3 linked regions of the Stegostoma tigrinum genome follow. The protein of the gene in region 2 interacts with the protein of the main gene of each other region in a pairwise test. Links are inferred from orthologs where the notes say so. Each region holds a gene or a part of one and is shown on either strand. Other genes may lie near its edges.

Region 1 (10,494 bases), on a different chromosome or scaffold from region 2:
GCTAGTGCCATTCAGGAGAGTTTAAAACTAGTATGGTGGGGTGGGGGAGGTGTGGGCGGGGAAACTGGCTGTCAACATTTGGAGTAATTGAGAAGGTAGTGGTTAAGTCAAGTAAGTCTAATAGGAAGAACAGGCAGGGCCAAGTTAATGAACACTGTGGAACCATCAGTCCAATGTGTATTTAACTGAAAGCAATGAGTATAACAGGTAAAGCAATTGATACTTAGAGCTTAGATTAGTACATGAGACTACAATGTCGTAGCCACTGCAGAAACTTGGCTGAGAATTGGGCAGGTCTCACAGCTCAATGAACTAGAGTTGAGACAGGGATATAAAAAAAAAGGTGAGGGAGTTGTATTAATGATCAAGGAGAATATCCTCGTCCAGTACAGCTGGGACATGATGAAGGATTCATCCAAAAAGAGGTCAAATGGGTAGAACTTAAGAATAAGATAGGTGCAATCACTTACGGAGTTAGAATATTGGCCTTGCAATAACCAGGAGATAATCAAACAGATATATAAGCAGATCAAGGAAAGATGGAAACAAAAAAACAACAACAAACAGGTTGTTGTCATGGGTGATTTCAGAGTCCCAACATTGATGGGGACTTGCTTACTGACAGGGGCGAAGATGGGGCAGAACCTGTTAGGTGCCTCCAGGGAGGTTTCTTGAAGCAACCTGTAGATAGTCCAACTAAGAAAGGGACTGTACTTGACTTTGTACGGGAGAATGAACCTTACCAGGTGATCAAAGTTTCTGCGGGAGAACATTTTGGGAACAGTGATCATAATTCAGTCAATTTTAAGATTGTTGTGGATAAGGATAACACTGGTCCTTGGGTGAAAGTACTAAAATTGAGGAAGGCTAATTACAACAGTATTAGGCAGGAATTGGAGAATTAGATCGGGAGCGACTATTTGAGAGTTAACCCACATCTGATATGTGCGAGTCTTTTAAAGGCCATTTGATGAGAGTTCAGAACCAGCATGTTCCTGTGAGGATGAAATACAAGGATGGCAAGATTCAAGCACGATAAATGACAACAGATGTTGAAAGCTTAGTCTAAAAGGGTAAAGAAAGCATAAGTAAGGTTTAAGAAACTGAAATCAAACAAGACCCTTGAGGGAGCAGAAAAGAACTTAAACAAGGAATTAGGAGAACTAGAAAGGGCCATGAAATGGCCTTTGCAAGTAGGAATAAGAATAAGGAGAGTCCAAAGGCATTTTATACATATATTACGAGAAAGAGGCTAAGTGGAGAAAGGGTAGATTCAGTCAAGGAGAAAAGAGTAAACTGGTGCAGAGTAAGAGAAAGTGGGTTACGTCCTTAATGAGTAATTTACATCGGTGTTCACAAGTAGTAAAAGGATGATGGGCAACATTGATGTGCTGGGGTATGTCGATGTTAAGCGGTAGTGTTGGGTAACTTGAAAAACTCCGAGATAGATACGTCCCCACAGCCTTACAGGATTTATCCTATGATACTGACAGAGGCAGGTTAGAAATTGCTGAGGTCTTTGGCTATTTTGTGACCCCACCTATGGCTAATATTCTTCCTTTGTGAAGGACAACGGGGTTACCACATGAAATTATAGATCATTGAGTCTTACATCATTGGTAGGGAAATTACTGGAAAGCAATTCTTAAGGACAGGATTTACTTGCATTTGGGAAAGAGTCGACTTATTAGGGATAGCAATGGCTTTGTGCAGGGGAGATCTTGTCTCTCAAACTTGAGGAGTTCTTTTGTTGAAGTGACAAAGTTGATTGATAAGAATGGGGTAGTGAATGTTGTCAACATGGATGTTACTAAATGTATCAACAAGGTCCTTCATGGTGGGCTGGTCCAGAAGATTAAGTTGCATGGGATCCATGATAATATCGCAAATTGGATACAAAATTGGCTTGGTCAAAGAAGACAAATAATAGTCATGTTTTTGGGGGAGGGGTGGTGGGGGAGCTTTTTATGAGTGGAGTTCTCTGACAGGTGGTGTTTCGCAAGGATCAGTGTTGGGAATTTGGTTGTTTGTAATATATGTAAATAGCTTAGATGAATATGTAGACTGTCCAATTAGTAATTTTGCGGACGTGCAAAATTGGAGTTGTGGACAATGAGGAAGTTTATCAAGGGATACAACCGGCTACAGATCAGTTAGAAAGCTGGGTGAAGAAACGACAGATGGAGTTTAATCTGGAGCAAAAAGACAGTTGCTGGAAAAGCTCAGCAGAACTGGTAGCATCTGTGGAGGAGAAAAAAAAGTTAGCGTTTCGGGTGCGGTGACCTTTCCTCATTTTACAGCATCCGCAGTTCTTTTGGTTCTTATTAGAGTTTAATCTGGACAAGCTGAGGTGATGTATTATGAAAAGTCAATGCAAGAGGAAACTATACAGTAAATAGCAGGACACCCAGGTGCAAAGGGATGTAGAGATCCAAGTCCATAGCTTCCTGAAAGTGATTTTTTTGATCACGGTCACGTTGCTGTTTGTGGAATCTTTTCATGCATAATTCGGCTATGTTTCCTATATTACCAGTTTTGGGAAGAAGTTTTGTTCTGGAAATAATATTGAATCTTCATTAAGATTTGAGATTATAAGGATATTGCTGGGATAAACAGACTATCTTGAATTCAAAACATTTTGCAGGTGCTTGCACTGAAATCTTTATAGCCTTTTTTGTCTAATCCAATACAATTCAATTTTTTTTGTTTAATAAACATGTTACATGGTCAAAGAACACTTGCAGATTCGTATAAATGTGTTCAGCAACTGACTTACATAGTTAAAAAGGTTACAGGTTACCAACCCTGGGATATGACTTGTTGAGCATTAACATCAGCTCGGATCATAAGAGTCTGAAAAAATATGGAGCGTGGGAGGAAGCACGTGAATTATACCTATCAAAAGCATATTCACATTGTCATTTTTTTTCCATATTCACTTTGAAGGCAAGAACAAAATAGTTCTAAACTCAGTAATTTGAGTAACTTGATTTCTCAGCAATTTAAGGGTGGATGCACCAAACTTGCTCACCTGAATTAGCTTATGTTGTAACATATTTCAAGTGAAGATTAAATCTAACTTAAAATGTGACGAACAAATCGTACACCAAGATATCACATTTCCAATTATGACAAGGAAAACTTGACCAAATGGTCATAAATCAACAATGTTTCTCTCTGTCTCCAGTCTTGACATCATATTCAAGTAGTTTAATATCATTTTCAATTGAAAAATTCACACTAAAAAGTAAAGCTTCATCTCAGATCATAAACATCAACACAATACACATATGCTTATGGTGGGCAAGTGGTGACAGTGGCAGTGTTAAATTCAGAGTTCAAATCCACAATAGCTGCTGATAAATTTAAAGTTAATAAATAAATGCGAAATAAAAAAAAACAGTAAAGGTGGCTGTCACAACTATTCATTATTGATTGCTTCAAAGAAAATCTGTCACCCTTACTTTATCCAACCTCATGTAACCCCAGTCCCTCATTAATGTGGCAGGATCTTAACTATGCGAGCCAGCCACTCAGTTCAAAGCTCCCTCTGCATCCCAAAACCAGCCCAGCTTGCCCCAGCCTCCATATCCTGTTCTTTCTCTCACCTATCCCCTCCTCCCAGCTCAAGCCACACCTCCATTTCCTATCTACTAACCTCATCCCACCCCCTTGGCCTGTCCGTCCTCCCCGGACTGACCTATCCCCTCCCTACCTATACTAACCTCTACAGGCTCCATCCCCGCCCCTTTAACTTGTCTGTCTCCTCTCCATCTATCTTCTCCTCCATCCATCTTTGATTCACCTCCCCCTCTCTCCCTATTTATTTCAGAACCCTCTCCCCATTCCCTTTTTCTGATGAAGGTTCTAGGCTCAAAACATCAGCTTTTGTGCTCCTAAGATGCTGCTTGGCCTGCTGTGTTCATCCAGCTCCACACTTTGCTATCTCAGACAACAAAAGCTGGTTTTGCCAGACATGCCCATACCCCAAAAAGGAATTTTTGAAAACTGCTCACATAAAAAAATAATTAACTAGTACAAGAAAAGGCGGTCACCTGATTAATTTCCTTTACGATGTTTAGCTTTAAATAGGGTAGGCAATGGCCTAGCGGTAACATCACTAAACTAAAAATCCAGAGACCTAGTTAGTGTCTTAGGGATCTGGATTTGAATCGTGCCGTAGTAAATGGTAGAATTTGAATTCAATAATAATCTGGAAAGCAGGGCCCATTGGTGATGCTGATGCAGATTGTCAGGAAAAAAACCCATCTGGATCACTAATTACCTTTCGGTAAGGAAATCTACCATCCCTACTTACAGACAAAGGCAACGTGGTTGTTTCTTAACTACCCTCTGGGCACTTAGGGATGTGTAATAAATGCTGGTCTAGCTTTAGATGCCCACAACCCACAAAGGAATGTAAAAAACCTCTTTCACATCATGACAATGCATTCTTAACTCATTATGCAAATTGTTACAAAGAACTCCTGACTTTTCTCCCCCATGCTCAATGTATTAAAATTATTTTGCAGGTTCCTAATTGACTTAATTATTTCCAGAACAAAAAGCTAAGCAACTCTGTTTGTAAAATCTAATTTAGCTTGATCTAATCATTACATCCTTCATTTTTTTTTGACTTTAGTAAAGTCATGCACTACAGACTTTGGCTATCTCACCAAGGAAGATTTATTTTAAATTTTGTGTTCTGCACTAATCATATCACTCCTTTTGCTGTAAGTCATATTCATTTCCATTGTTGGGTATTTACCTGGACTTCTGCTCAAGGTTTTGAGAAGGATGAACTAAATCCATGTGCACCTGAAAAAAAAACATTTTGTTCACATATCAACACAAAACTTAGCCCACTGTCAGTGCTCCAAAATAAAAATACAGACGGTGAAAATTTGAAATCAAAGCAGAAACGTTGCTAACACTCAATGCAGAGAGAGAAAAGGAGAGCGAGCAGAGGAATACATAGAAACATACGGGATTTCTGGAATTGCTTACTTTCAAAGCTTCCTTTCTGGCGTGGGAGGAGGTTATCCCCTTTGCATTCTCAGCTGTTTCTTCTTCTTTCTTTCACCCTCCCACCTAATTCTTCTTCAGTGAATTAGATGTAGAAAAAGGGCTTCTTTGGGGTAAAGGCAATCAGCCATCTCACCTGGTTGGCTAGCTTGTGAAACTTCCAGTTCTTGAACAGGTGCCCTTATTTTCACTAGGTTCAGAGGATGCTCCCCACTTTGTTCAAACAGTTTAAATTAAGACTCTTCTCCCTCTCGCCCATCTAACCTTTTTATGTTTGAAATTTTAACCTTCTCTATCTGATCAGAATGTTTACCAGGGCTACCTTGTCTGTTTTGGTTCTAAACTTAGCTCTGGTTCTCCAAAATCAAACGTGAGGATTGTCCTCTAGCAAACTGAAAATGAGCAATGCCCATAAACTGTTCCAATTTATTTCACTCTGCTCTAAAAACCCATCGGCCTTGACAGTGAACATTTGTTTACACTGTAGTTTACAAGAGACCTTTAATGGCATTACTAAAATTAAATAATCAGGATTGACTCAATCCCTAGATAACAAGGTGTAGAGCCAGATGAACACAGCAGGCAAAGTAGCAGAGGAGCAGGAAAGCTGACATGTCTTCAGAAAGAAGGGTTTAGGCCAGAAACATCAGCTTTCCTGCTCCTCTGATGCTGCTTGGCCTGCTGTGTTCATCTGGCTCTACACCTTGTCATCTCAGATTCTTCAGCATCTGCAGTTCCTACTATCTTTGATTCAATCACTACTTCTGATTACATTCATTCATTTGTGGGTTCAATGCCAGACTCGAGTGCCCAAATATTTGTTCCTGTCGGGAAGAGTGTTCCAAAGACTGACATTTGTGGGGAAAAAATAAGTTGCTTTCTCACTGTCCATTCAAGTGGGCAATCTCGTGCTTCAATGGTAATCCGTAGTTCTAGACTCTCTTGTAAAAGAAAGCATCCTCTCCACATCTCTTCTGTCAGGAAGCCTTATGACTTTTTTTAAAAAGCCAGATTGCTTCTTATTCTGCTAACATTTTAATAGGTATAAGCCTATGCTGTCCAACTGTTCACATCAGCTATTAGTTCAGTAAACCATCTTTGAACTGCTTTCAATGAATGTCATCCTTCTTTAAACAAAGGTGATCAAGAGTACCCCATATAATAAGCATAACTTCCTCCCTTTGTATTTAATTTCCTTGCAATGAATGATAATTGTATTAGCTTTCTTAATTTTCTGTTATAGCATACGTATAGAAGGTTAGGAAAATGGAGTGGAGGATCATTACATCAGCTATGATCTCATGGAATATGTTTCACTAATGAGCCAAATGGTCTAATTTTGATCATACAGCTTATTTTCCTACTGTTTTTGCAGTTCTTGCCAGCTCTCTCTTCTATTCTAATTTTTCCCTCTTTTTGGTCATTATTTCTAAAATATTTCAATCTTCATCCTATCACTTAACTTTGTATCATTGCATATCTTTTGTTTCAATTTGATAACACCCTTAATTTTCTTAGATTGCCAAAAATGTTGTGTCTCTCAGTCTTTGTTTCTCAATGGAAAATATGTTTGTTCAGAGTTTTGAAATATCTCCATAAACGTTTGTCACTTATCTCCTTTCAACCTATTTCCGAGCATTTATTTGCATTTATGAATCCCAGTTCTCAGGATTCTTACATAAATGATATACCTGTATAGTGAAGAAACTATGAATTCTGTTTTATTACACATTGCCCAGTATAAAATTGGCTGCTACCTGAATTGATCTGGAATGTATTAAAAGAAACACTGCCCTGAATACACTATGAGTTCATCGCCCAAACTATTTTTGCTGATTTCATTCTTCCGATCCGCAAGATGATTCAAATTGCCAAGTGGTAACATTTTTCTTACAAGTTTTCATCATGTTTTTATTTTTAATCAGGCCTACAATGTATCTATTGTTATGGCATAAACAATTCCAATAGGTAACTTTTTTTGCTGTTCCTTATTTCCATACAAACCAATTCTAAATCACGTTCCTCCTAAAGTAAAATAATTGCTCACTACTATCCTGATCTCATTCATTTTTTTTAAAAACAGATTTACCCCATTCCTTATATTTAGTGAAGCTCAGGACTCAGATGAGATCAGTTCATAACCTCAACTTGTAGTGGCAGTCACATCATGCTAATCTGTTTCTATTAGTGCCATCATTTCATCCAACCAGTGACAAATGAAGCATGCATTCAGATTAAGCACATTTAATTCTGAAACAAAAAACAAAAATTACTGGAAAAGCTCAACAGGTCTGGCAGCATTTGTGGACAGAAATCAAGAGTTAACATTTTGGGTCCAATGGCAGCTGGGAAAATGTTGGTTTTTATGCAGAAGACAGCGTTGGGCAGGGAGTACAAAGTAAAACAGTAGGTGGAGAGAGAGTCCAGAGAGGAGAGGACAATTGAACCAACAACAGAGTAGATAGCAACCAGGTTATGAGGATGTATAGCTGTTAATAGGGATTGTTCATGGCTAACAATGGGTTATGTGTAATAGTAGACCATGTGACAACAAGGCCTGGTATATGGGGGGTTGGGGTATGGACATGGGAGAGCTTAAGCCCGGAAATTGTTGAACCTGAGTTTCTAGAAGGGTGTAGAGTTCCCAAGCAGAAAAATGAGGTACTGGTCTTCCAGCTTGCACTGTAGAATCCATAAGCTCCACAACTTTGCTGGAGCACTACAGCAAGCCTGAGACAGAGATGTTGGCAGGTACAAGGTTGTGTGTTGAAGTGGCAGACAACTGGAAACTCAGGGTCTGTTTTGCGATAGATGTTCTCCGAAGCAATCACCTAGTCTATGCTTCATTTTGCCATTGGTGACATTGTGAATAGCAAATGGAGTAAACTAGATTAAAGTGCAGGTAAAGCACTGCTTCATATGGAAAGTGCATCTGGGCCCTAAAAACCGTGAAAGGAGGAAGTAAATGGACAGGTGTTACATCTTTTATAGTTGCAGGGGAAAGTGCCATGGGACTGTGGGGGAGAATTTGGGAGTGAAGGAGGAGTGGACCTGGGTGTCTTGGAGGGAATGGTCCCTGAGGAAGGCTAACAAGGGAGGGGAGGGGAGGGGAATGTCTGCCTGGAGATGGTGGTCTTAGTGGCTAATGATCCTCTGGATGTGAATGATGGGGGCTTAGTTGGTACGAATAAGGGAAACCCTACCACGGTTGTGGGAGAGGGGATGAGGGCCGAAGTGTGGGAGATGTGTTAGACCCAACTGAGGGCCTTGTCAACTACGGTGTTCGGGAATCCGCAGTTGAGAAAGAAAGTGGATATTTCAGAGGTACCTATGTCAAAGTTGGCATCATCGGAACAGATGCAATGCAGACAGAGGAATTGGGCGAATGGAATAGAAGCTTGACAGGAATTCTGTCCTTTTACTATTTTTCCAGGTGCACTCTTCCATTTGTACACTCTGTGCCCTCGTGTCACATAGTGAATACAAAAGTCAGGAGATAACGATTACTATATGGAGCATGATTGCCATCCTTCTTTAACAAAGGTGACCAGTCATTGGAAGCAGTTCAGTGAAGGTTTACCAGACAAATATGTGACAATGAATAGGTTGGACAGGCTAGGCTTGTGCTCATTCCCCTGAATAGAACCTTGTGCTATTGCCAAATGATAGTATTTTCCCAAGCATTTTGGTAGCTTTTCGGGGCAGATTTGGCACATATTTTGGAGAGATGATTACTAACCATTTCTTACTTTGGATAGTCTCTTAAAAAAGACAGTTTTTAATTTCTACATAAAGTAGAATCCATAAGAGCATCCAAGCAGGTTTTTTCCTCTTTCTTTCATACATATGTGTAATTTGGCTTTCAAGAATCCCCAATAACTGAGATTTAAATTTTAGTCAATTCATCACTTTTCCTTTCCTATGCGCAATTTAACTTTTCAGTCAGCCTAGTACGAATAATGCAGCATAGTGAACCTCTTAATACTCACACCACCACATTGATGTTAATCCACAGATGGACATACATGGCAAAAACACATGTTCTGGACTAAAAGTTTGTAAAAAAAAAAATTCTCAGATCACCTTTACATTCTATTCACTTGTAAGAATAAAGGCCATTCTTGACAGTCAAAAACATAAAACTCACTTTATCCATATACGTGTGTCGGTTTATCCCTATTCCCTTTTCTGTCCCTGTACAAAAGTCAAAAGATAATTAAAGGTGAGGAAGGTAACTTATCCACTTCAATTCACCTATTCAAAAAGATGTCATTATATGCAAGTATAATAGTGAATTGCTTGTCCATTGATTTGAGTATTTATTTTCAGGAAGTTTATTCTATAATCCACATTTGATCATGTTTTGCATGACAAAATTTCCTAATATGCATTTTAAAGACTATGTTTGTCTAGTATGAACTACCCGAGTCTCTGCAGTACTCAGTTAACCAAACCCAGTAATCCCAGGTCCTGCTCCGTTGAACACAATTCGACTAATACTTGTTCTTTCTTACCTTTTAGTTAGCTGTTTAATCCATTCCTAAAGATTATATTAAATCCCATACATTGAATTTAATTAACTACATGTGGAATTTAGTTCAAAGTTATAGCAAGTACATCAAATTACAATCCAAACTATCATCTCAAATATTTAAGGAGCTCATCTGAAAAGAAGCTTTAAAATCAAAATATTTTTAATTATTCACATATCCTAAATGCAGTCAGGTGCTTTTATTAGGTCTCGATAGAAAGTTTTCCTATGAACTGAACAGCAAGCTGGCAGCTATTTGTTTCTCCTTGTGTATTGAAACAGCTTTGATAATGTCCTCTGCAAGACTCCTTCTGTCTCAAGAGTCATTTTGAGATGATGATTCTATTCAGGGGCTAGAGCCACAGTTTAAATGAGGAGTGCCCCCTGCTTAAATTCTAGAAAAAGAAGGCAGCCACATTTCCCTTTGAAAAGAAGGGCACACACCTAACTCCCTGCATCTCTGTGAAGGGCAAGGACCTGCAACAAAGAGTCCAGGCACCTCATACCCCTTCATTTTTGCCAATATAATACTAAGTTCATGGACACGGCTATAGCACGGAGGCCTGTGTCAATCACTAGCATCTAATTAGAGTTCTGCCAGAGCTATTTTTCATTCACACTCACTAGTCGCTGAGAAGAATACGTGCAAGGCTAACGACATCGCAACAGTCTGTTAGCACTGGGTAATGAGCCTGGCCAGGTGTTAGATTTGGAAGTAGGTGAGCACTTTGGTGATAGCAATCACAATTCTGTTATGTTTACTTTAGTGATGGAAAGGGATAGGTGTATACCACTGGGCAAGAGTTACAGCTGGGGAAAAGGCAATTACGATGAGATTTGGCAAGATTTAGGGAGCATAGGATGGGGAAGGAAATAACAGGGCATGGGCACAGTAGAAACGTGGAGCTTATTCAAGGAAAAGCTCCTGTGTGTCCTAG
Region 2 (10,333 bases):
GCTGCTCCCCCTCCCACTTAAGGATCCCAAATACACGATCAGAGACATCACGCACCCTGGCACCTGGGAGGCAACACACCAACTGTGAGTCTCTCTCGTCCCCACAGAACCTCCTATCTGTCCCCCTAACTATGGAGTCCCCGATGACTAATGCTCTGCTCCTCTTCCCCCTTCCCTTCTGAGCAGTAGGGGCAGACTCTGTTCCAGAGACCTGTGCCCCACTGCTTTCCCCTGGTAAGTTGTCCCCCCCAACAGTATCCAAAACGGTATACTTATTGTTAAGGGGAATGGCCACAGGGGATCCCTGCACTGCCTGCCGGTTCCCTTTCTGTCCCCTGATCGTAACCCATCTGCCTTTTTCCTGTACTTGAGGAGTGACTACCTCCCTGTAACTCCTCTCAATAACCCCCTCTGCCTCCCGAATGATCCGAAGTTCATCCAGCTCCAGTTCCCTAATGCGGTTTTCAAGGAGCTGGAGTTGGGTGCACTTCCCGCAGATGTAGTCAGCAGGGACACTAGTGGTGACCCTTACCTCCCACATTCTGCAGGAGGAACATTCAACTGCCCTGACCTCCCTTCCCATGACTTAAAAAAAAAGAATAAAAAATAAACTTGTTAACTTACCAATCAGGCACACAGAACTTTTTTTTTGGTTAGAGGAGGAGGATGGGTGGGAGATACTACCAGGGTAGTGTTTCGGGTAACGCAACCACAAATATATTACCTCACTCACTCACCAGTCCTGTGTCCGCTCCTGCTCAGCGTACCTCCGCCTATTCACGAGGTAAGCTTTTTAAAGATTCAATAACCGTGACTCACCGGCTTCCCGAGAGGCCCCTGCTCCAAGCTCCCGCTCGCGCTGCTGCTGCAACCAGAAGAGAGGGGAATGGGGAGAGGGTTCTGAAATAAATAGGGAGAGAGAGGCAGGCCGAAGATGGATAGAGAAGATAGGTGGAGAGGAGAGTATAGGTGGGGAGGTAGGGAGGAGATAGGTCAGTCCGGGAAGGACGGACCAGAGTTGGCAGAAAAACTGCTCGATGTTCAAACGTGAGTGGTACTCATTGATGTGACAGCCCAAAGTGACCTATCCCCTCCCTAACTATCTTCTCCTCTACCCATCTTCGGTCCGCCTCCCCCTCTCTCCCTATTCATTTCAGAACCCGCTCCCCATCCCCCTTTTCTGGTGAAGGGTCTCAACCCAAAACATCAGCTTTTGCGCTACTAAGATGTTGCTTGGCCTGCTCTGTTCATCCAGCTCCACAGTTTGTGATCTCGTAAACTCCAGGAGAAGGCAAGTTTCTGGCACAGGCTGTGATGGAGGCACTGTGGATCAGCGGTTCGCACTGCTGCCTCACAGCGCCAGAGACCCAGGTTCGATTCTACCCTCAGGACTGTCTGTGTGGAGTTTGCACATTATCCTCGTGTCGGCATCGGTTTCCTTCTCATGGTCCGGTTTTATCCCACACTCCAAAGACACTGTATTCACAGAGCTTACCTTCCTGTTTGTGAGGGGATGTCAGATACTGTATTCACAGAGCTTACCTTCCTGTTTGTGGGGGGCAGTCAGATACAGTATTCACAGAAATTACCTTCCTGTTTGTGAGGGGCAGTCAGATACTGTATTCACAGAACTTACCTTCCTGTTTGTGAGGGGCAGTCAGATACTGTATTGACAGAGCTTACCTTCCTGTTTGTGGGGGGCAGATAGGTACTGTATTCACAGAGCTTACCTTCCTGTTTGTGGGGGGCAGATAGATACTGTATTCACAGAGCTTACCTTCCTGTTTGTGGGAGGATGTCAGATACTGTATTCACAGAGCTTACCTTCCTGTTTGTGGGGGGCAGAGTTAGATACTGTATTCACAGAGCTTACCTTCCTGTTTGTGGGGGGATGTCAGACACTGTATTCACAGAGCTTACCTTCCTGTTTGTGGGGGGCAGAGTTAGATACTGTATTCACAGAGCTTACCTTCCTGTTTGTGGGGGGATGTCAGATACTGTATTCACAGAGCTTACCTTCCTGTTTGTGGGGGGCAGAGTTAGATACTGTATTCACAGAGCTTACCTTCCTGTTTGTGGGGGGCAGAGTTAGATACTGTATTCACAGAGCTTACCTTCCTGTTTGTGGGGGGCAGTCAGATACTGTATTCACAGAGCTTACCTTCCTGTTTGTGGGGGGCAGAGTTAGATACTGTATTCACAGAGCTTACCTTCCTGTTTGTGGGGGGCAGAGTTAGATACTGTATTCACAGAGCTTACCTTCCTGTTTGTGGGGGGCAGAGTTAGATACTGTACTCACAGAGCTTACCTTCCTGTTTGTGGGGGGATGTCAGACACTGTATTCACAGAGCTTACCTTCCTGTTTGTGGGGGGCAGTCAGATACTGTATTCACAGAGCTTACCTTCCTGTTTGTGGGGGGCAGAGTTAGATACTGTATTCACAGAGCTTACCTTCCTGTTTGTGGGGGGCAGTCAGACACTGTATTGACAGAGCTTACCTTCCTGTTTGTGAGGGGCAGAGTTAGATACTGTATTCACAGAGCTTACCTTCCTGTTTGTGGGGGGCAGCGTTAGATACTGTATTCACAGAGCTTACCTTCCTGTTTGTGGGGGGCAGTCAGACACTGTATTCACAGAGCTTACCTTCCTGTTTGTGGGGGGATGTCAGATACTGTATTCGCAGAGCTTACCTTCCTGTTTGTGGGGGGCAGAGTTAGATACTGTATTCACAGAGCTTACCTTCCTGTTTGTGGGGGGCAGTCAGACACTGTATTCACAGAGCTTACCTTCCTGTTTGTGGGGGGATGTCAGATACTGTATTCACAGAGCTTACCTTTCTGTTTGTGGGGGGATGTCAGATACTGTATTCACAGAGCTTACCTTCCTGTTTGTGGGGGGCAGTCAGACACTGTATTCACAGAGCTTACCTTCCTGTTTGTGGGGGGCAGATAGATACTGTATTCACAGAGCTTACCTACCTGTTTGTGGGGGGCAGAGTTAGATACTGTATTCACAGAGCTTACCTTCCTGTTTGTGGGGGGCAGTCAGACACTGTATTGACAGAGCTTACCTTCCTGTTTGTGAGGGGCAGAGTTAGATACTGTATTCACAGAGCTTACCTTCCTGTTTGTGGGGGGCAGCGTTAGATACTGTATTCACAGAGCTTACCTTCCTGTTTGTGGGGGGCAGTCAGACACTGTATTCACAGAGCTTACCTTCCTGTTTGTGGGGGGATGTCAGATACTGTATTCACAGAGCTTACCTTCCTGTTTGTGGGGGGCAGAGTTAGATACTGTATTCACAGAGCTTACCTTCCTGTTTGTGGGGGGCAGAGTTAGATACTGTATTCACAGAGCTTACCTTCCTGTTTGTGGGGGGCAGAGTTAGATACTGTATTCACAGAGCTTACCTTCCTGTTTGTGGGGGGCAGTCAGACACTGTATTCACAGAGCTTACCTTCCTGTTTGTGGGGGGCAGAGTCAGACACTGTATTGACAGAGCTTACCTTCCTGTTTGTGGGGGGATGTCAGATACTGTATTCACAGAGCTTACCTTCCTGTTTGTGGGGGGCAGAGTTAGATACTGTATTGACAGAGCTTACCTTCCTGTTTGTGGGGGGCAGAGTTAGATACTGTATTGACAGAGCTTACCTTCCTGTTTGTGGGGGGATGTCATACACAAAGGGTTTCCTGTGGGAGAGGGGGAGGGGGAAGAGTATAAAAAATAAATACACCAGTGAACACGGGAGGTGACAGAGCGCCGACGGTAACAACAGCTGACAGGGGTGGGAGCGCACGGCCCCGGCTCCTTACCCGCTCTCCCCGAGCGTGACGCCCGCGATGCGGGGAGGCGATGAGCCGCCGCCGCCGCCGCCGAGAAACACGAGGGAACCGCAACGACCCAACGCCATCTTCACCTATTCACTTCCAGCCAGCTTCCGGCGTACCCGGGATTCGGGTCCGGGTCATTTCCGGCGTCCCCGGTGGTCGGGTCCGGGTCATTTCCGGCGAGGCTCGGTCAGTGCTGAATGTGAAGATGGCGGCGGCGCTGTGGGGATGCAGGCTCGGCGGTTTGCGGCAGGTACAGAGCCTGAAGCCTTGGCCTGTCCTCTGGCTGTGTCAGGGGCATGTCGCGGCCTGTGTGTGTGTGTGTGCGCGCGCGCGCGGGACAGGCCGCGGGCTTCTCTCAGACCCACATTTACCGGGCACGGCCCTGTGTTTACAGTTAATACCCGGGGCGGGCCCGGTGTGAGCCCCCCGCCGAGGGTGACTCCAGGGGATGGGGCCGTTCCTGGTTTTTGTCGCCTGTCCCCAGTCTCCGCTGAAGGGAGTACGTCATGTGAAGTTAGTGGGATCTTGCTGTGCTCTCAGAATGGCCAACTGCCTGACTTTCGCGGGGATTGCCTCATTCTCTGGCGGTTCTCCTTAAGGTGTGGATTGTTTTATTCTTTCAGCTCAGCCGTTGGGAAACGGAGACTGGGAATGTTGTTCACTGTGAGAGCCACCCCCCTCACCAGAGCCCCCACCCGCCTCACCTCCCTCATCACCAGCAAACCCGCTCTCCCCAGCTCACCCTGCAGTCATAGTTGCTGGTGTTGCCGATCACGGTCACGTCCCACAAAAGCCAGCCTCATCAGAGTTGGACACCCTGACAATTCCACATTACAACAGAGATAGCAATTCAGAATGTCCTTAATTGGCTGTAAGACCGTTTGAAAAGTCCACTGGTCCTGAAAAGTGCTATGTAAATGTAGATGTCCAAGTTTTCAAACATTCAATTTGTAGTGCAGAAGTTGAACAGAGAGTTGCATTTTCACAGCTTTTTTCGTTGGACCCATCAAAATTAAATGTAAGAATAGCAAATTAAAGCAGTTGCAGCAACTTTCAGGAGAAAAATGACTATTTGTGGTCAAATCAATTCTGATTCCCTTCTCCATTGCAACATCTCAGCCAATGTAATACTATAGATTTCCACACTCTCAGGGAATTTAAAATTGGTGCAATGTTTGAACATTTTCGTTTTGCTTGCAGAGAACAGGACCGAACATTTGCCATTCACTTCTCTGTGGCAAACCTTTCACCAGAGTCAACTTACATCCAGTCAACAGTTTCTTTTCCATGTCGTGTAAATTTTATGATTGAAATTTGGCATTCATGCCTTCGTCCTCATGTCTGTAAAGTGAAGAGTTAAAACATGCCTCGATTTATTGTATATTGTCTTATCAATAGAATATTTGATGATTTTGGAATTTCAGGTATTGATGGTGAGGTCGGGGTTTCAAGCAGTGACTCTCACTACCAAGGCTACAGCTCCACAAAAGAAGAAGAAAGTTAAGGGTAAGGAATGTGAATGTTGTCCATAACTAGGAATTGTAGCCTCATACTGGGCACTTGAGAGACCCAACAAGAAAACATTTGGTATTATAAATAAAGACCAAAAATAAACTTGCTTTGCCTTCTCTGCCAACACACCATGCAGAATATTAACAGCATTGCCTACTTCAAGAGTTAAAAATAAGAGACACATAGATGTATGAGTATTTTTTTGTACGGACACCTATGTGAAATCCAGACCGTTTGCCTGGTTACAGGTCCGGGGCTTATTAGTTACAGGTTAGTGACATGGAGCTATTGGTTCAGGTTAATTGTTACTGATTAGCGGCCTGGAAATACAGATTATACTTTGGATGTTGATCTACTTTCAATTTTACAAATGGAGACTTTTTTTGTGGGATGTGGGGCATCAACAAAAAGCTTGGCTTCTCACATCTTCCTTAAACTTTCACCTTCAACTTCCCCACAGTTTAATACAGCTAAATGGCTTGCTGGGCTACTTAAGGGACACTTCAGAATCAAACACTTTGCTGTGAGTTTGGAGTCACTTCTAGGCCAGACCAGGTAAGGGCAGAAGATTCCCTTCACATAAGGTAGACCATTTGTTTTGTTTGGGCCTCTGGATGAACACTGCAGTAACATCACCACATTGAGTTACTGTCAGGCAGTGGCTAGTACCATTCTCCATGGACTGGGTTTGTTTATTCTTCATATGTTCATTTGAAAGGTGAAGAAAGTATTACATTAGCACGTAATGTGGCCATTTTGCCTTTGGGACAGTACTGGTTCTTTGAAAGAGCTCTTTGCCCCTAGCCATGTTAGTTCATCATCCTCTAAAAGCTCTCCAACTGCCTTATGGAATTTGAGATCAGTTTCTACCAGCATGCAGCACGGTGGCTCAGCGGCTAGCACTGCTGCCTCTCAGGGCCAGGGACCCCAGGTTCAATTCGACCCTCGGTCTGTGTGGAGTTTGCACATTCTCCCTGTGTCTGCTTCCTCCAGGTGCTCCGGTTTCCTCCCACAGTCCAGAGATGTGCAAGTTAGGTGGATTGGCCATTCTAAACTGCCCATAGTGTTCAGGGATGTGTAGATTAAGTGGGTTTATAGGGGGATGGGTCTAGGTGAGATGCTCTGAGGTTAGGTGTGGACTTATTGGGCCAAAGGACCTGTTTCCACACTGTAGCGATTCTATAATTCTGTGACTCTTTTCAGGTCTAGTGCTCCAAATCTGACAACTCTCTGAGAGGAACGTTCTTTCTCCTCTCTAGATCTTTTTGCAATGATTTGAAATCTTCTGGTTATTCCTGGAGGGAATGGATTGTCCACCTTCTTATGATCCCAGTTGACAGGAATACTGGATGAGTCAGAACTCTGTTCCCTTTTGGAGGCTTTTACACCTTTGCTGAAGTGTGGTGTAAATGAACGTAATACACGAGCTGAGGTGTAATCTGTGATTCGTAAATTTCCAGTACAATCTCTTCACTTTCATATTCCATCCTTCTATTTATAAACACAGCTAACCCTCATACTGGTTTAATCACTTTACCTTCCAGCTTTAAAGATGTGTGTTCAGGGACACTAAAGTCTGTCAACTCATAGAAATAATACAGCACAGAGGGAGCCATTTGACCCATCTTGTCCATGCCGATCCAGAGATACCCAGAAGCCCTTTCTAATCTCACCTTCCTTCACAGCGCCCATAGCACTGCAGCTTACAGCACTTAAGGTGCAGATATAGGGACTTTTTGCAGCAGTTTAGGGTCTCTGCCTCCACCACCAACTCGAGCAGCGAATTCCATGCAACCAATACCCTCTGTATTTAAAAAATAAGCTTTTGTTCACTTGCCTCCTAATCCTCCTGACACTTAGCCTGAATCTATAACCCCTGCATAAAATATCAGCAGGTATCCCAACACTGAGCTCTGAGGAACATCATGTGAAACAGCTTTCCGTTCTGAAGGGCAGCCATCGACCATTAGCCTTTGTTTCCTGTTACTAAGCTAACTTTGGATCTAATTTGACACATTACCCTGGATCCCATGGGCTTTTACCTTTTGGATCAGTCTAGTTGTGGGATCTTGTCAAATGCCTTACTAAACTCCATGTAGACAATATCCACATTGATCCTCTTGTCACGTCCACAAAGAATTCAATCAAAATTTGTAAAGGTATGACTTTCTCTTACAAAGCTATGCTCTCCCAGACCAGCCCATGCCTTCCTCTCACGATTGATTCTAGCAATTTGCCCACCACCAAAACAAAACTTAACTGATCTATAATTGTTTGCCATTTTCCTATTTAAATAATATATTTGCTTTCCTTCAGCACCTCGCCTGTGTCTACTGAAGATTGGAAAATAAGCCTCAGAGCACCTGCTATTTCCTCACTGACCACCTTCAACATCCCAGGGAACAATCCATCCGGCCCTGGCAACTTTTCTACTTGCGAGGATTCCAACTCCTTGAACATTGCCTCTTGTGTTATAATGTTGTCCAATATTTCAGACTGCTCCTCTTGGGTTATTATATCCACATCATCCATTTCCTTTGTGGAGATGAAAAAAATCATCTAAAATCCTTTCCATCACCCACTGCATCTTCACACAAGTTCCCCTCTTCATCTCTAGTAGGTTCCACTTTTTCCTTAACTATCCTTTTGCACTTTATATACCAGTAAAACATCTTTGGGTTTTCCTTGGTCTTGCTTGCTAATATTTTTTCATGCCGTCTCTTTGATTTCCTTATTTCTTTTTAAACTTGATCCTTGTACTTACTATACTCCTCCAGGCTATCTACAGAGCGAGCTTTCTTTTTCTGTTTAATCTCGCCCTGTACTTTTCTAGACAGTGATGGGGATCTAGATATGGTAGTTCCATTCTAATTTCTGGAGGGGACATATCTGTTTTTGTGCCATAAGGATCTCACATTTAGCGCCTCCTCCCCCCGGTATACCATTGATTTCTCCTTTAGCAGTCCTGTCCAGTCTACCTCACCTCAGCCAAATCATTTCTCATTGTAACATTTACCTCCCCATTGCCACAGTGTAAAACCTTTCTTCCTGATTTATCTCTGTCCTTACCCACACTAACATGAGCACGAGCCAAATTGTAGCCACTGTCCTGGCATGGTCGCACACTCACTTCACCCACTTGTCTATCTTCATTTCTCAAAACTAAATCTAGAATTGCGTCTCCACTCATTGGGCTTGTCACGTATCATTTCAAAAAAGGTTCCTGGACACACACTATGAATTTTTCACCCTCGGTGCCCTTTATATCATTTATAGCCCAGCTGCTATTGGGATATTTAAAGTCTCCTGCTGTTCTTGCCCTCTTATTCCTACAGGCAGAAATGTGTCTACGTGTGTGTTCTTCTATCTCCCTGTCATTATTTGGGGCTCTGTAGTGTATTCCTAGCAGTGTGACTGCCCCTTTTTTAATTTCTCAGCTCAACCCATAAAGCCTTATTTGTTAACCTGCTTCATATACCAGCACCCTCCCCCCAACCCCCCCGAAAAACTGTAATTGATTCTTTAATCAATACAGCTACCCCTCTCCATTTTTGTCACCCACTCTATCCTGCCTGAAAACTCCATATTCTAGTATGTTGAGCTGTCAGTTTGGTCCCCCTTTAACCAAGTTACAGCAACAACACCCTGCTTCTGTGTGTCTGTCTGTGCCCCTAACTAACTGCCTTGTTTGTAATATTCCTCGTCTTGAAGTTTAAACAGCTCAACCTTGTCAGTTCTCTTTGAACATAAGTAGGAGCAGGAGTAGGCCATTTGGCCCATTGAGCCTGCTTCAGTATTCAACAAGATCATGGCTGATGTGAGACTCTTTTTCCGAGGATGATGACTTCAGCTTGTACAAGGGGGCATAGCTACATATTGAGGGGTGATAGATTTAAGACATGTCAGAGGCAGTTTCTTTACTCAGAGAGTGGTAAGGGTGTGGAACGCGCTCCCTGCCAATGTAGTTAACTCAGCCACATTAGGGGCATTTAAACAGCCCTTGGATAAGCATATGGATAATGATGGGATAGTGTGGGGGGGGTGCTTAGATTAGTCCACAGGTCAGCGCAACATCGTGGGCCGAAGGGCCTGTTCTGCACTGTATTGTTCTATGTTCCATGTTCTCATGGACTCGGCTCCACTTGCTCACCTGCTTGCCATAATCCTGAATTCCTTTGCTCTTCAAAAATCTATCTCTCTTTGCTTTAAAAGTATTCAATGAGGCTGAACTGCTTCACTGAGCAGGGAATTCCACAGATTCACAATCCTTTGGATGGAGAGGTTCCTCCCCAGCTCAGTCCTAAATCTGTTTCCCCTTATTTTGATGCTATGCTCCCAAGTTCTAGTTTCACCCGCCTGTGGAAATTACCTCCTAGCTTCTATCTTGTCTATTCCCTTCATAATCTTAAATGTTCCTATAAGGTCCCCCCCTCATTCTTCTAAATTCCAATGAGTATAGTCCTAGTCTACTCAATCTCCTCTCAAAAGCCAACACCCTCAAATCAACCGAGTGAACCTCCTCTGCACCCCCTCCAATGCCAGTACATCCTTTCTCAAATAAGAAGATCAAAACTGCACACAGTATTCCAGGTGTTGCCTCACCAGTGCTCTATACAGCTGCAGCATAGCCTCCCTGTTTTCAAACTCCATCCCTCTAGCAATGAAGGGCAATATTCCATTTGTCGTCTTAATTACCCACTGCAGCTGCAAACCAACTTTGTGATTCATGCACCAGGACACTCTGGTCCCTCTGTACGACAAAATGCTGCAATTATTCACCAGATAAATAATAGTCCATTTAGCTGTTATTCTTACCAAAACAGATGACCTCACATTTACATTTCCTGGATGCTTTTTAATGCTTGTTTCTACATTCTTCTTAGTCACTAAGTACATCACAAACTAACGCGTATTTCCTGTTTCCTTCTCTGGATTTGGTTTGATTTGTTATTGTCACATGTACCTAAGTACAGTGAAAAGTTTTATGTGCA
Region 3 (10,445 bases), on a different chromosome or scaffold from region 2:
CCTGAAGGGCGTGACCATCCCAGGCAGCGGAGGCCTTCAGGTCAAGACCTCCCTGTACATGGATGATGTCGCTGTCTTCTGCACCGATCGTCGGTCGGTGAGTAGGCTGTTGGACATCTGCGGCCAGTTTGAACTGGCCTCGGGTGCCAAAGTCAATAGGGGTAAGAGCGAGGTCATGTTCTTTGGGAACTGGGACGACCGCTCCTTCATCCCCTTCACCGTCAGGACAGACTACCTGAAGGTGCTGGGTGTTTGGTTTGGTGGAGCTGGGGCATGCACTAAGACTTGGGAGGAGCGTATCGCCAAATTTAAGCAGAAGCTGGGCAGGTGGTCGCTCCGGTCCCTCTCCATCACAGGTAAGAACCTGGTTGTCAGGTGCGAGGGGCTTTCGGTACTGTTGTATGTGGCGCAGGCCTGGCCTATTACCTGGACCTGCGCCGCTGCGGTCACCCGGGCCATCTTCCACTTCATTTGGGGGTCGAGGATGGATCGGGTCCGCAGAGACACCATGTACAAAGACCTGGGAAATGGGGGAAAGGGCGTACCGAACGCCACCCTCGCCCTGACGGCGACCTTTGTGTGTGGCTGCATCAAGCTGTGCGTAGATCCTCAGTACGCAAACACCAAGTGTCACTACTTACTGAGGTTCTACCTGTCCCCGGTGTTGCGAAGGATGGGCCTAGCCTCGTTGCTGCAGAACGCTCCGAGTAGTTGGACCATTCCGTACCACCTGTCCTTCGTGGAGAAATTTTTGAAAGGAAACACCTTTGACCACAAGGCCGTCAGGCAGTGGTCAGCACGTAGTATCCTCAGGACCCTTCGGGAAAAGGAGAGGGTGGATCCCGTCGTGTGGTTCCCCACGCAGACTGCCAAAGTCGTTTGGCAGAATGCCTCATCGCCAGAACTTTCAAACAAGCACAAGGACATTGCTTGGCTGGCAGTGAGAGGGGCTCTGCCAGTGAGATCCTTTATGCATGCCCGGAATCTCTGCACCACCGCACGCTGCCCTCGAGGTGGCTGCGGGGGGGACGAGACTGTTGATCACCTCCTTCTGGAGTGTGCCTATGCGCAGGAGGCCTGGAGGGGGATGCAGTGGTATTTGTCGAGGTTCGTCCCGAGCAGCTCCGTGACGCGGGACTCCGTGCTCTACGGGCTGTTTCCGGGGACGCACACCGAGACCAACATCAACTGCGCCTGGAGGACCATCAATGCGGTGAAAGACGCTCTTTGGTCTGCCCGCAACTTGCTGGTCTGCCAGCTGAAAGAACTGACCCCGACCGAGTGTTGCAGACTGGCGCACTCCAAGGTCCAGGTCTACGTGCTGAGGGACGCGCTAAAGCTTGGGGCAGCCGCCGCCAAGGCGCGGTGGGGAAAGACCACCGTATGAGCCCCCTCGTCCAGAAAAGGGAAAAGAATCCTATCTGGTAACTGGGCCCAGCTGGCGCCTTCCCCAACTGGTCAGGGGGCCAACTGGGACTGTGCGGGGTGACGACTGCCGGGGCGGTTTCTTTGCTTTGTTTTGTTTTTTTCTGTTTTGTTTTTTTTCCTTTAGTTGGTGTGCGTACCCCCGGATAACCCGGAGTGGCTTGCGTGACTGGGTAGGTGTATAAATGTTTTATTTTTTGTACATTCTATGAATAAAGTATATTTTTTCAAATAAAAAAAAAAGGTGACGAAACGTCTGGGAACAAACCTTCCAGCTCAGTGAGCAAACTCACATCTAGTCAGTATGTTCCTCATCAGCCCATGAATGCTTGGTTGGGGAGTTTGGAAGTGAACATTCACCAAAGCTAGGACTTGCAAAGTTTCCACAAACAAAGGTCTGATTATGGAAACCGCAACTGATTTGTTAATTTTTAAACTGAGCTGGTAGAATTTTATTCAACCAAAGTATTCAGGGATATGAGATGATGAAATGTGAGGCTGGATGAACACAGCAGGCCCAGCAGCATCTCAAGAGCACAAAAGCTGACGTTTCGGGCCTAGACCCTTCATCAGAGTGTCTGGGCCCGAAACGTCAGCTTTTGTGCTCCTGAGATGCTGCTGGGCCTGCTGTGTTCATCCAGCCTCACATTTTATTATCTTGGATTCTCCAGCATCTGCAGTTCCCATTATCACTATTCAGGGATATGGTTCAACAATCGAAGTAGGTAAGTCATGGCTTGAAGGAATAAATTGCTTCTCCTGTTCCTATCAGAATCCCTTCACTATAGAGACCTGAAAATGTTCATGGAAGCCACCTGTCCAAGAAAGATTGGTGTTAGTCAGCATGCTGGGGGCATATTTTTTAAGTGAGAGGAGAGAGTTTTAAAGGGACATGAGGAGCAATTTTTTTTTTACAGCGAGTCATTCATGTGTTGAATAAACTACCAGAGGAAGTGGTGGATGCAGGTACATCGCAAACTTTAAAAGACATTTGGACAGTATATGAATAGGAAAGATTTGGAGCGGTATGGCCAAACACAGGCAACTGGGAGTAGTTTAGTTTGGGAACATAGCTGGTATGGACCAGTTGGGCCAAAGGATCTGGTTCCATGCTGTACGACTCTATCATATCCCAGGAATCAAGGACTGCCCTATGGCAGTTTTGAGCCGTTAAAAGTTCAATATTTTCTGTTGAAGGGTCTAGGCCTGAAACATCAGTATTTGTGCTCTTAAGGTGCTGCTTGGCCTGCTGTGTTCATCCAGCTCCACGCTGTGTTATCTCGGATTCTCCAGCATCTGCAGTTCCCATTATCTCGAATATTTAAAATATGTTCATTTCCTTTCCATCTCATCAGGAACTCTCAAAGTTGCAAAGTGCTTGACAGCTAATATTCACAAGACATTGAAGAAAAACTGGATTGGTTGGCCCTATTTTCACACACGTTGAAAAAGGTGGGGAGGAAGTTTCAAATAAACTTGTAAAATTTTAACTGCACCAAACAGAAAGGATGCGCCCAATGAAGAGAGATCCCAGACAAGGTACAGTGTAGGTCATTTTGGGCTGATACAAAGAGGAGTTTCTCCCCCAAGAGAATGGCGAGCCTGTGGAATTCTCTGTCATAGTGGATGAAGCCAGAACAGTGAATGTTTTCGAGGAGGAGTTAGGTAGAGTTCATAGGGCTAAAGGGATCAAAAGCATGTGGAGAAAACGGGAATAGGAGACTGATTCAGATAATCACCAGCGATCATATTGGAGATAATGGGAACTGCAGATGCTGAAGAATTCCAAGATAATAAAACGTGAGGCTGGATGAACACAGCAGGCCAAGCAGCATCTCAGGAGCACTAAAGCTGACGTTTCGGGCCTAGACCCTTCATCAGAGATCATATTGAATCACTTAGTCGGCTCAAATGGCCCACTCCTGCTATTCAGTGAAATTATCTTATAAATGTAGAAATACAGTCACTACTTCACAGGTACTAACAACTCAATTCTTGAAACAAGGTACCATGTTTTTAAAAATCACACTGCTATTTCAGTGATTCAGCAGCACTCCCTCAGCACTGACCCTCCGACAGCACAACGTTCTTTCTGCACTGGGAGTGTTTGCTCAGATTATCTGTCTGTACAGGCTACACAGTTGTACAGGGTCGGATACTAAAGTTTCAAACCACTGACTGAGAGACAAAATACAAATACTCCAGCATTATGAAACCATCGGCGAATCCTTTAAACACATCAATTCGCCCCTGTACCTAAAAAGCACACCTGAGGGACAACTTCTTTGCACAGAGGGTGGAGTGTGTACAGAATGGGCTGCCAGAGGAAGTGGTGGAAGCTGATACATTACAACACTTAAAAGGCATCTGGATGGGGACATGATAAGCAAGGGTTTAAGAGGAATATGGGCCAAATGGGACTAGATTTATTCAGGATGTCTCGTTAGTGCAGACAGCTTGGACCAAAAGGTCTGTTTCCATGCTGTACATCTCAATGACTATTGATTGTTTGAGAATGTGGGGTTACAGAATCAAGGGTGGGGTGGGTGAGGGTAGAAAATAGTCTGGGGAGGGAGTGGGGAGGGAGAACTGCTGTGGGTGAGGGAGTGGGGGGGGAGAACTGCTGTGGGTGAGGGAGTGGGGGGTGGCTGCTGTGGGTGAGGGAGTGGGGGGGGCTGCTGTGGGTGAGGGAGTGGGGGGGGAGAACTGCTGTGGGTGAGGGAGTGGGGGGGGGCTGCTGTGGGTGAGGGAGTGGGGGGGGGGCTGCTGTGGGTGAGGGAGTGGGGGGTGGCTGCTGTGGGTGAGGGAGTGGGGGGGGCTGCTGTGGGTGAGGGAGTGGGGGGGGCTGCTGTGGGTGAGGGAGTGGGGGGGGAGAACTGCTGTGGGTGAGGGAGTGGGGGGGGGCTGCTGTGGGTGAGGGAGTGGGGGGGGAGAACTGCTGTGGGTGAGGGAGTGGGGGGGGCTGCTGTGGGTGAGGGAGTGGGGGGGGCTGCTGTGGGGGATTACCAAGTTGAAGACACACCGCCCCCCTCCCCACCGAGTTCCAGAGCATTCCCCCCACCTTTCCTCCTCTCCCCCCACTTCCCCCTATCCTCCGCCGGGTTCCAGAACATTCCCTCCACCCCCGGTACCCGCCGCGCTCACTCTCTCACCATTCCGCTCCCGCTCCGCCGCCCGGCTACCAGCTCTGCCCCGCACTCAGGACCTCGACACCGCCCCGCACAGCTGTCCCCGTCACTGCCTGCACGCTACCGCGCCTGCGTGCGAGCCCAGCATCCCCTCCTGCTGGCGGGAGTGGGGCACTGCGGGAGCAGACACTCCTTGAATCTGTGCAAATGGCAATGACAACACCAGGCAAAAAAAAAGTTGGAGGGTAAGGTTAAGAGGACTGAAGGACGGACTTGCATTTATTCCCAGATTTTCACCACTTCTGGAGGCTTCAAGGCAGAAAACCAGGAATCTTTTGTCACAACTCACTGGGTTCGTGCACTTTCAGCTTCCTGTCGATTTACCTCTTTTGTCAACAGTTTGGTTCCAAAGATTTGGATCCTTCTCCAGTTAAAGACTTTGATTAACTCCTGTGGCTCTTATTGTAATTATGGGTCCAGTTGCATCATTATTTAAAAAAAATTTACAAAAAAAACCTTCATATCATTCGTATCTGCTGTTCCCGGTGTGGCCTCCTCTACATCAGAGAGACCAAGCGGAGGCTTGGAGACCGCTTTGCAGAACACCTACGCTCGGTTCGCAATAAACAACTGCACCTCCCAGTCACAAACCATTTCCACTCCCCCTCCCATTCTTTAGATGACATGTCCATCATGGGCCTCCTGCACTGCCACAATGATGCCACCCGAAGGTTGCAGGAACAGCAACTCATATTCCGCTTGGGAACCCTGCAGCCCAATGGTATCAATGTGGACTTCACCAGTTTCAAAATCTCCCCTCCCCCAACCTCATCCCAAGGCCAGCCCAGCTCGTCCCTGCCTCCTTGAGATAGCAGGAACTGCAGATGCTGGAAAAGCTGAGATAACAAGGCGTAGAGCTGGATGAACACAGCAGGCCAAGAAGCATCAGAGGAGCAGGAAGGCTGACATTTTGGGCCTAAACCCTTCTTCAGAAAGCAGGAATTGCAGATGCTGGAGAATCTCCTTGATCTGCTCCTCCCACCTTACTGACCAACCCCCCACCCCCACTTCCTACCTCCTCGTCTCATACCCACCTCCTTGACCTGTCCATCTTCACTCCCACCTACCCACCCCTCCCTCCTCATTGACCAACCCCCATCCCAACTCCCTACCCACACTCACCTGTACTGGCATCATCATCAACTCCTCTCTGTCTTCTCTCCCACCTGTCTGCTCCACTATTCATCTTCTATCATTGCCTCCCGCTCTCTCTATTTATTTCAGAGCCCCCTGCCCTCCCCATTTCTGAAGAAGGGTCCAGACCTGAAACATCAGCCTTTCCTGCTCCTCCGACGCTGCCTGGCCTGTTGTGTTCATCCAGCTCCGTACTTTGTTATCTCAGAGTCCAGCATCGGCAGTTCCTACTATCTCTTCATATCGTTTGCCTGCTTGCCTTTCTTTCGCTTTCTCAACTCCCATCCCTCTCCTGTTTCATGGGGAGATGGAGAAAACACTTTAACTAATGGATCAGCTCAAAATGTAGCTGCAAGATGTGAATGCATTGGGAAGAGTGCAGAAGTGATTTACAAGCTTCAGGCGGTGAGGCAATGACCTGGTGATGCTATTGCTGGACTGTTAATCCAGATACCCAAGTGATATTTTGGAGACATAGATTAGATTCCCTACAGTGTGGAAACAGGCCCTTCGGCCCAACAAGTCCACAGCACCCCTTGAAGCATCCCACCCAGACCCATCCCCCTATAACCCACACACCCCTGAACACTACGGGCCATTTAGCGTGGCCGATCCACCTAGACTGCACATCTTTGGACTGTGTGAGGAAACTGGACTACCGGAGGAAACCTACGCAGACACGGAGAGAAGGTGCGAACTCCACACAGATGGTCGCCTGAGGCTGGAATCAAACCTGGGTCCCTGATGCTGTGAGGCTGCAGTGCTAACCACTGAGCCACTGTGCCGCCATAATACATAGGATCATGTCACATCACAACAGATAGTAGAATTAGGAGTTTAACGATAACCATAAATCCATTGTCGATTGTTGTAAAAATCTGGCTCACTCATATCCTTTAGGGAAGGAAATCTGTCGTCCTTACATAATCTGGTCGATGTGTGCCTCCAGACTCAAAGCAATGTGGTTGACTCTTAACTGCCGTCTGGGCAACTGGCTGCACAATTAATGCTGGCCTAGCCAGAGATGAATGAATTTTAAAAAGGCTTCAGCAATGAGGAAAATTAAATGATTTACTCTGTCCAGCTCAGTCATGATTTTGAAAACCTCTAACAAATCTCCCATGCAGCTTCCTTCTCTCCGAATAAACCACAGAACATAGAACATAGAAAAGTACAGCACAGTACAGGCCCTTCAGCCCACGATGTTGTGCCATGGAATAATCCTAATCCAAAATTAAAATAACCTAACCTACATTCCCCTCAATTCACTGCTGTCCATGTGCATGTCCAGCAGTCGCTTAAATGTCACTAATGACTCCGCTTCCACGACTACCACTGGCAAAGTATTCCATGTGCTCACAACTCACGGGTGAAGAACCTCCCTCTGACGTCTCCTTCCTCCTAACACCTTAAAACTATGACCCCTCGTGGCAGTCAATCCTGCCCTGCGGAAAAGTCTCTGGCTATCGACTCTATCCATGCCTCTCATTACCTTGTACACCTCGATCAGGTCACCTCTCTTCCTCCTTCTCTCCAAAGAGAAAAGTCCGAGCTCAGTCAACCTCTCCTCGTAAAACAAGCCCTCCAGTCCAGGCAGCATCCTGATAAACCTCCTTTGCACCCTCTCCAAAGCCTCCACATCTTTCCCATAATAGGGCGACCAGAACTGGACACAATATTCCAAGTGTGGTCTCACCAGGGTTTTGTAGAGCTGCAGCATAACCTCGCGGCTCTTAAACTCGATCCCACTGTTAATCAAAGCCAACCAGTCCGAATTTTTTTAATCTGTCCTCATCACTGAGTTCCTTATTGCTGGAATCATTCTTGTAAATGCATTCATATCTGTCCTGTAATGAACTGATTTGCCGAACAAATCCGGTGGCATTTTCAAGGAGGTGACTAAATGGTAGATGAGGGTAGGGCAGATGATAGAGTTAATATGGATTTCAGCAAAACCTTTGAGAAGGTCCAATATGGGAAACTGATAAAGGAAGTTAAAGCTCACAGGATCTAATGTAACTTAGCAAGTAGGATGCAAATGGAAAAATGTCTTGGGTGGTGGGGTCGGATTGTAGGATGCAAAATGAATGACAGGAGACAGAGGGTGGTGGTAGAAAACTGTTTGTGTAATTGGACCCCAATGGTTGGAGCCCAATGTGGAGTGGCATACCACAGGAATCTAGTGCTGGGTCCACTATTGTTTGTGATATTCATAAATAATGTAGATGAGAATGTGGGAGAGATGATATGCAGGCTTGTAATTGACACAAAGATTGGCCAAGTGACTGATGGTGAGGAGGAAGGTGTTAAGCTACAGGAGGATATAAACAACAAAATGTGAGGCTGGATGAACACAGCAGGCCAAGCAGCATCTCAGGAGCACAAAAGCTGACGTTTCAGGCCTAGACCCTTCATCAGAGAGGGGGAATGGGGTGATGGTTCTAGAATAAATAGGGAGAGAGGGGGAGGCGGACCGAAGATGGAGAGAAAAGAAGATAGGTGGAGAGAGTATAGGTGGGGAGGTAGGGAGGGGATAGGTCAGTCCAGGGAAGACGGACAGGTCAAGGAGGTGGGATGAGGTTAGTAGGTAGATGGGGGTGCGGCTTGGGGTGGGAGGAAGGGATGGGTGAGAGGAAGAACCGGTTAGGGAGGCAGAGACAGGTTGGACTAGTTTTGGGATGCAGTGGGTGGAGTGGAAGAGCTGGGCTGGTTGTGTGTTGCAGTGGGGGGAGGGGACGAACTGGGCTGGTTTAGGGATGCAGTTGGGGAAGGGGAGATTTTGAAACTGGTGAAGTCCACATTGATACCATTAGGCTGCAGGGTTCCCGGGCAGAATATGAGTTGCTGTTCCTGCAACCTTCGGGTGGCATCATTGTGGCACTGCAGGAGGCCCATAATGGACATGTCATCTAAAGAATGGGAGGGGGAGTGGAAATGGTTTGCGACTGGGAGGTGCAGTAGTTTGTTGCGAACTGAGCGGAGGTGTTCTGCAAAGCGGTCTCCAAGCCTCCACTTGGTTTCCCCAATGTAGAGGAAGCCACACCGGGTACAGTGGATGCAGTATACCACATTGGCAGATGTGCAGGTGAACCTCTGCTTAATGTGGAATGTCATCTTGGGGCCTGGGATAGGGGTGAGGGGGGAGGTGTGGGGGCAAGTGTAGCATTTCCTGCGGTTGCAGGGGAAGTTGCCGGGTGTGGTGGGGTTGGAGGGCAGTGTGGAGCAAACAAGGGAGTCACGGAGAGAGTGGTCTCTCCGGAAAGCAGACAGGGGTGGGGATGGAAAAATGTCTTGGGTGGTGGGGTCGGATTGTAGATGGCGGAAGTGTCGGAGGATGATGCGTTGTATCCGGAGGTTGGTGGGATGGTGTGTGAGAACGAGGGGGATCCTCTTTGGGCGGTTGTGGCGGGGGCGGGGTGTGAGGGACGTGTTGCGGGAAATACGGGAGACGCGGTCGAGGGCGTTCTCGATCACTGTGGGGGGAAAGTTGCGGTCCTTGAAGAATTTGGACATCTGGGATGTGCGGGAGTGGAATGCCTCATTCTGGGAGCAGATGCGGCGGAGGCGGAGGAATTGGGAATAGGGGATGGAATTTTTGCAGGAGGGTGGGTGGGTGGGAGGAGGTGTATTCTAGGTAGTTGTGGGAGTCGGTGGGCTTGAAATAGACATCAGTTACAAGCTGGTTGCCTGAGATGGAGACTGAGAGGTCCAGAAAGGTGAGGGATGTGCTGGAGATGGCCCAGGTGAACTGAAGGTTGGGGTGGAAGGTGTTGGTGAAGTGGATGAACTGTTCGAGCTCCTCTGGGGAGCAAGAGGCTGTGCCGATACAGTCATCAATGTCCCGGAGGAAGAGGTGGGGTTTGGGGCCTGTGTAGGTGCGGAAGAGGGACTGTTCCACGTAACCTACAAAGAGGCAGGCATAGCTGGGGCCCATGCGGGTGCCCATGGCCACCCCCTTAGTCTGTAGGAAGTGAGAGGTGAGGATATAAACAGTCTGGTCAGATAGGCAGATCAATACAGATAGAAAAGACAAGAGAGTACTCAATGAATGGCAGTACACTAGGAAGCTCAGAGGAACAGAAGGATCATGGGATGCATGTCCACAGATCCCTGAAGGTGGCAGGACAAGTTAATAGAGGAGTTAAGGTGACATACAGGATACTTGCCTTGATCAGGCTTTGCATTGATTATAAAAGCATGGACATCACTTTGGAGCTGTGCAGGACTTTGGTTAGGCCACAGCTGGAGTACCGTATGCGACTCTGATCACCACATTGTAGGAGGGATGTGATTGCACTGGAGAGGATGCAGAGGAGATTCACCAGGATATTTCTGGGATGGAGCATTTCAGTGATAGAAAGGTGGACTGCACCTCGCAGTTGCGAACCATTTCAACTCTCCCTCCCAATCTTTGGATGACATGTCCATCCTGGGCCTCCTGCAGTGCCATAATGATGCCACCCGAAGGTTGCAGGAACAGCAACTCACATTCCGCTTGGGAACCCTGCAGCCCAATGGTATCAATGTGAACTTCACAAGATTCAAAATCTCCCCTCCCCCAACCGTATCCCAAAACCAGCCCAGCTCGTCCCTGCCTCCCTAACCTGTCCTTCCCCCCACTTATCTCCTACTCCCACCTCAAGCCCCACCCCCACCTCCTACCTACTAACCTCATCCCGCCCCCTTGACCTGTCCTTT

The links.
Region 1: the proteins of wdr4 (region 2) and protein FAM118A-like interact in binary tests that used the Homo sapiens proteins (3 or more experiments, as listed by UniProt). The two-hybrid records come from large-scale screens. The link is inferred for Stegostoma tigrinum from reciprocal best matches to the Homo sapiens genes WDR4 and FAM118A.
Region 3: the proteins of wdr4 (region 2) and rabggtb interact in binary tests that used the Homo sapiens proteins (3 or more experiments, as listed by UniProt). The two-hybrid records come from large-scale screens. The link is inferred for Stegostoma tigrinum from reciprocal best matches to the Homo sapiens genes WDR4 and RABGGTB.

Annotation. Positions count from the first base shown.
Region 1 is NC_081371.1:20,273,723-20,284,216, forward strand, and holds the start of protein FAM118A-like, read right to left. Parts: upstream 4,834-10,494; coding exon 4,769-4,833; intron 1-4,768.
Region 2 is NC_081365.1:948,404-958,736, reverse strand, and holds the start of wdr4 (tRNA (guanine-N(7)-)-methyltransferase non-catalytic subunit wdr4), read right to left. Parts: upstream 3,972-10,333; 5' UTR 3,911-3,971; coding exon 3,813-3,910; intron 3,690-3,812; coding exon 3,651-3,689; intron 1-3,650. UniProt on the Homo sapiens protein: Non-catalytic component of the METTL1-WDR4 methyltransferase complex required for the formation of N(7)-methylguanine in a subset of RNA species, such as tRNAs, mRNAs and microRNAs (miRNAs).
Region 3 is NC_081361.1:100,985,247-100,995,691, forward strand, and holds the start of rabggtb (geranylgeranyl transferase type-2 subunit beta), read right to left. Parts: upstream 4,662-10,445; 5' UTR 4,581-4,661; coding exon 4,578-4,580; intron 1-4,577. UniProt on the Homo sapiens protein: Catalyzes the transfer of a geranylgeranyl moiety from geranylgeranyl diphosphate to both cysteines of Rab proteins with the C-terminal sequence -XXCC, -XCXC and -CCXX, such as RAB1A, RAB3A, RAB5A and RAB7A.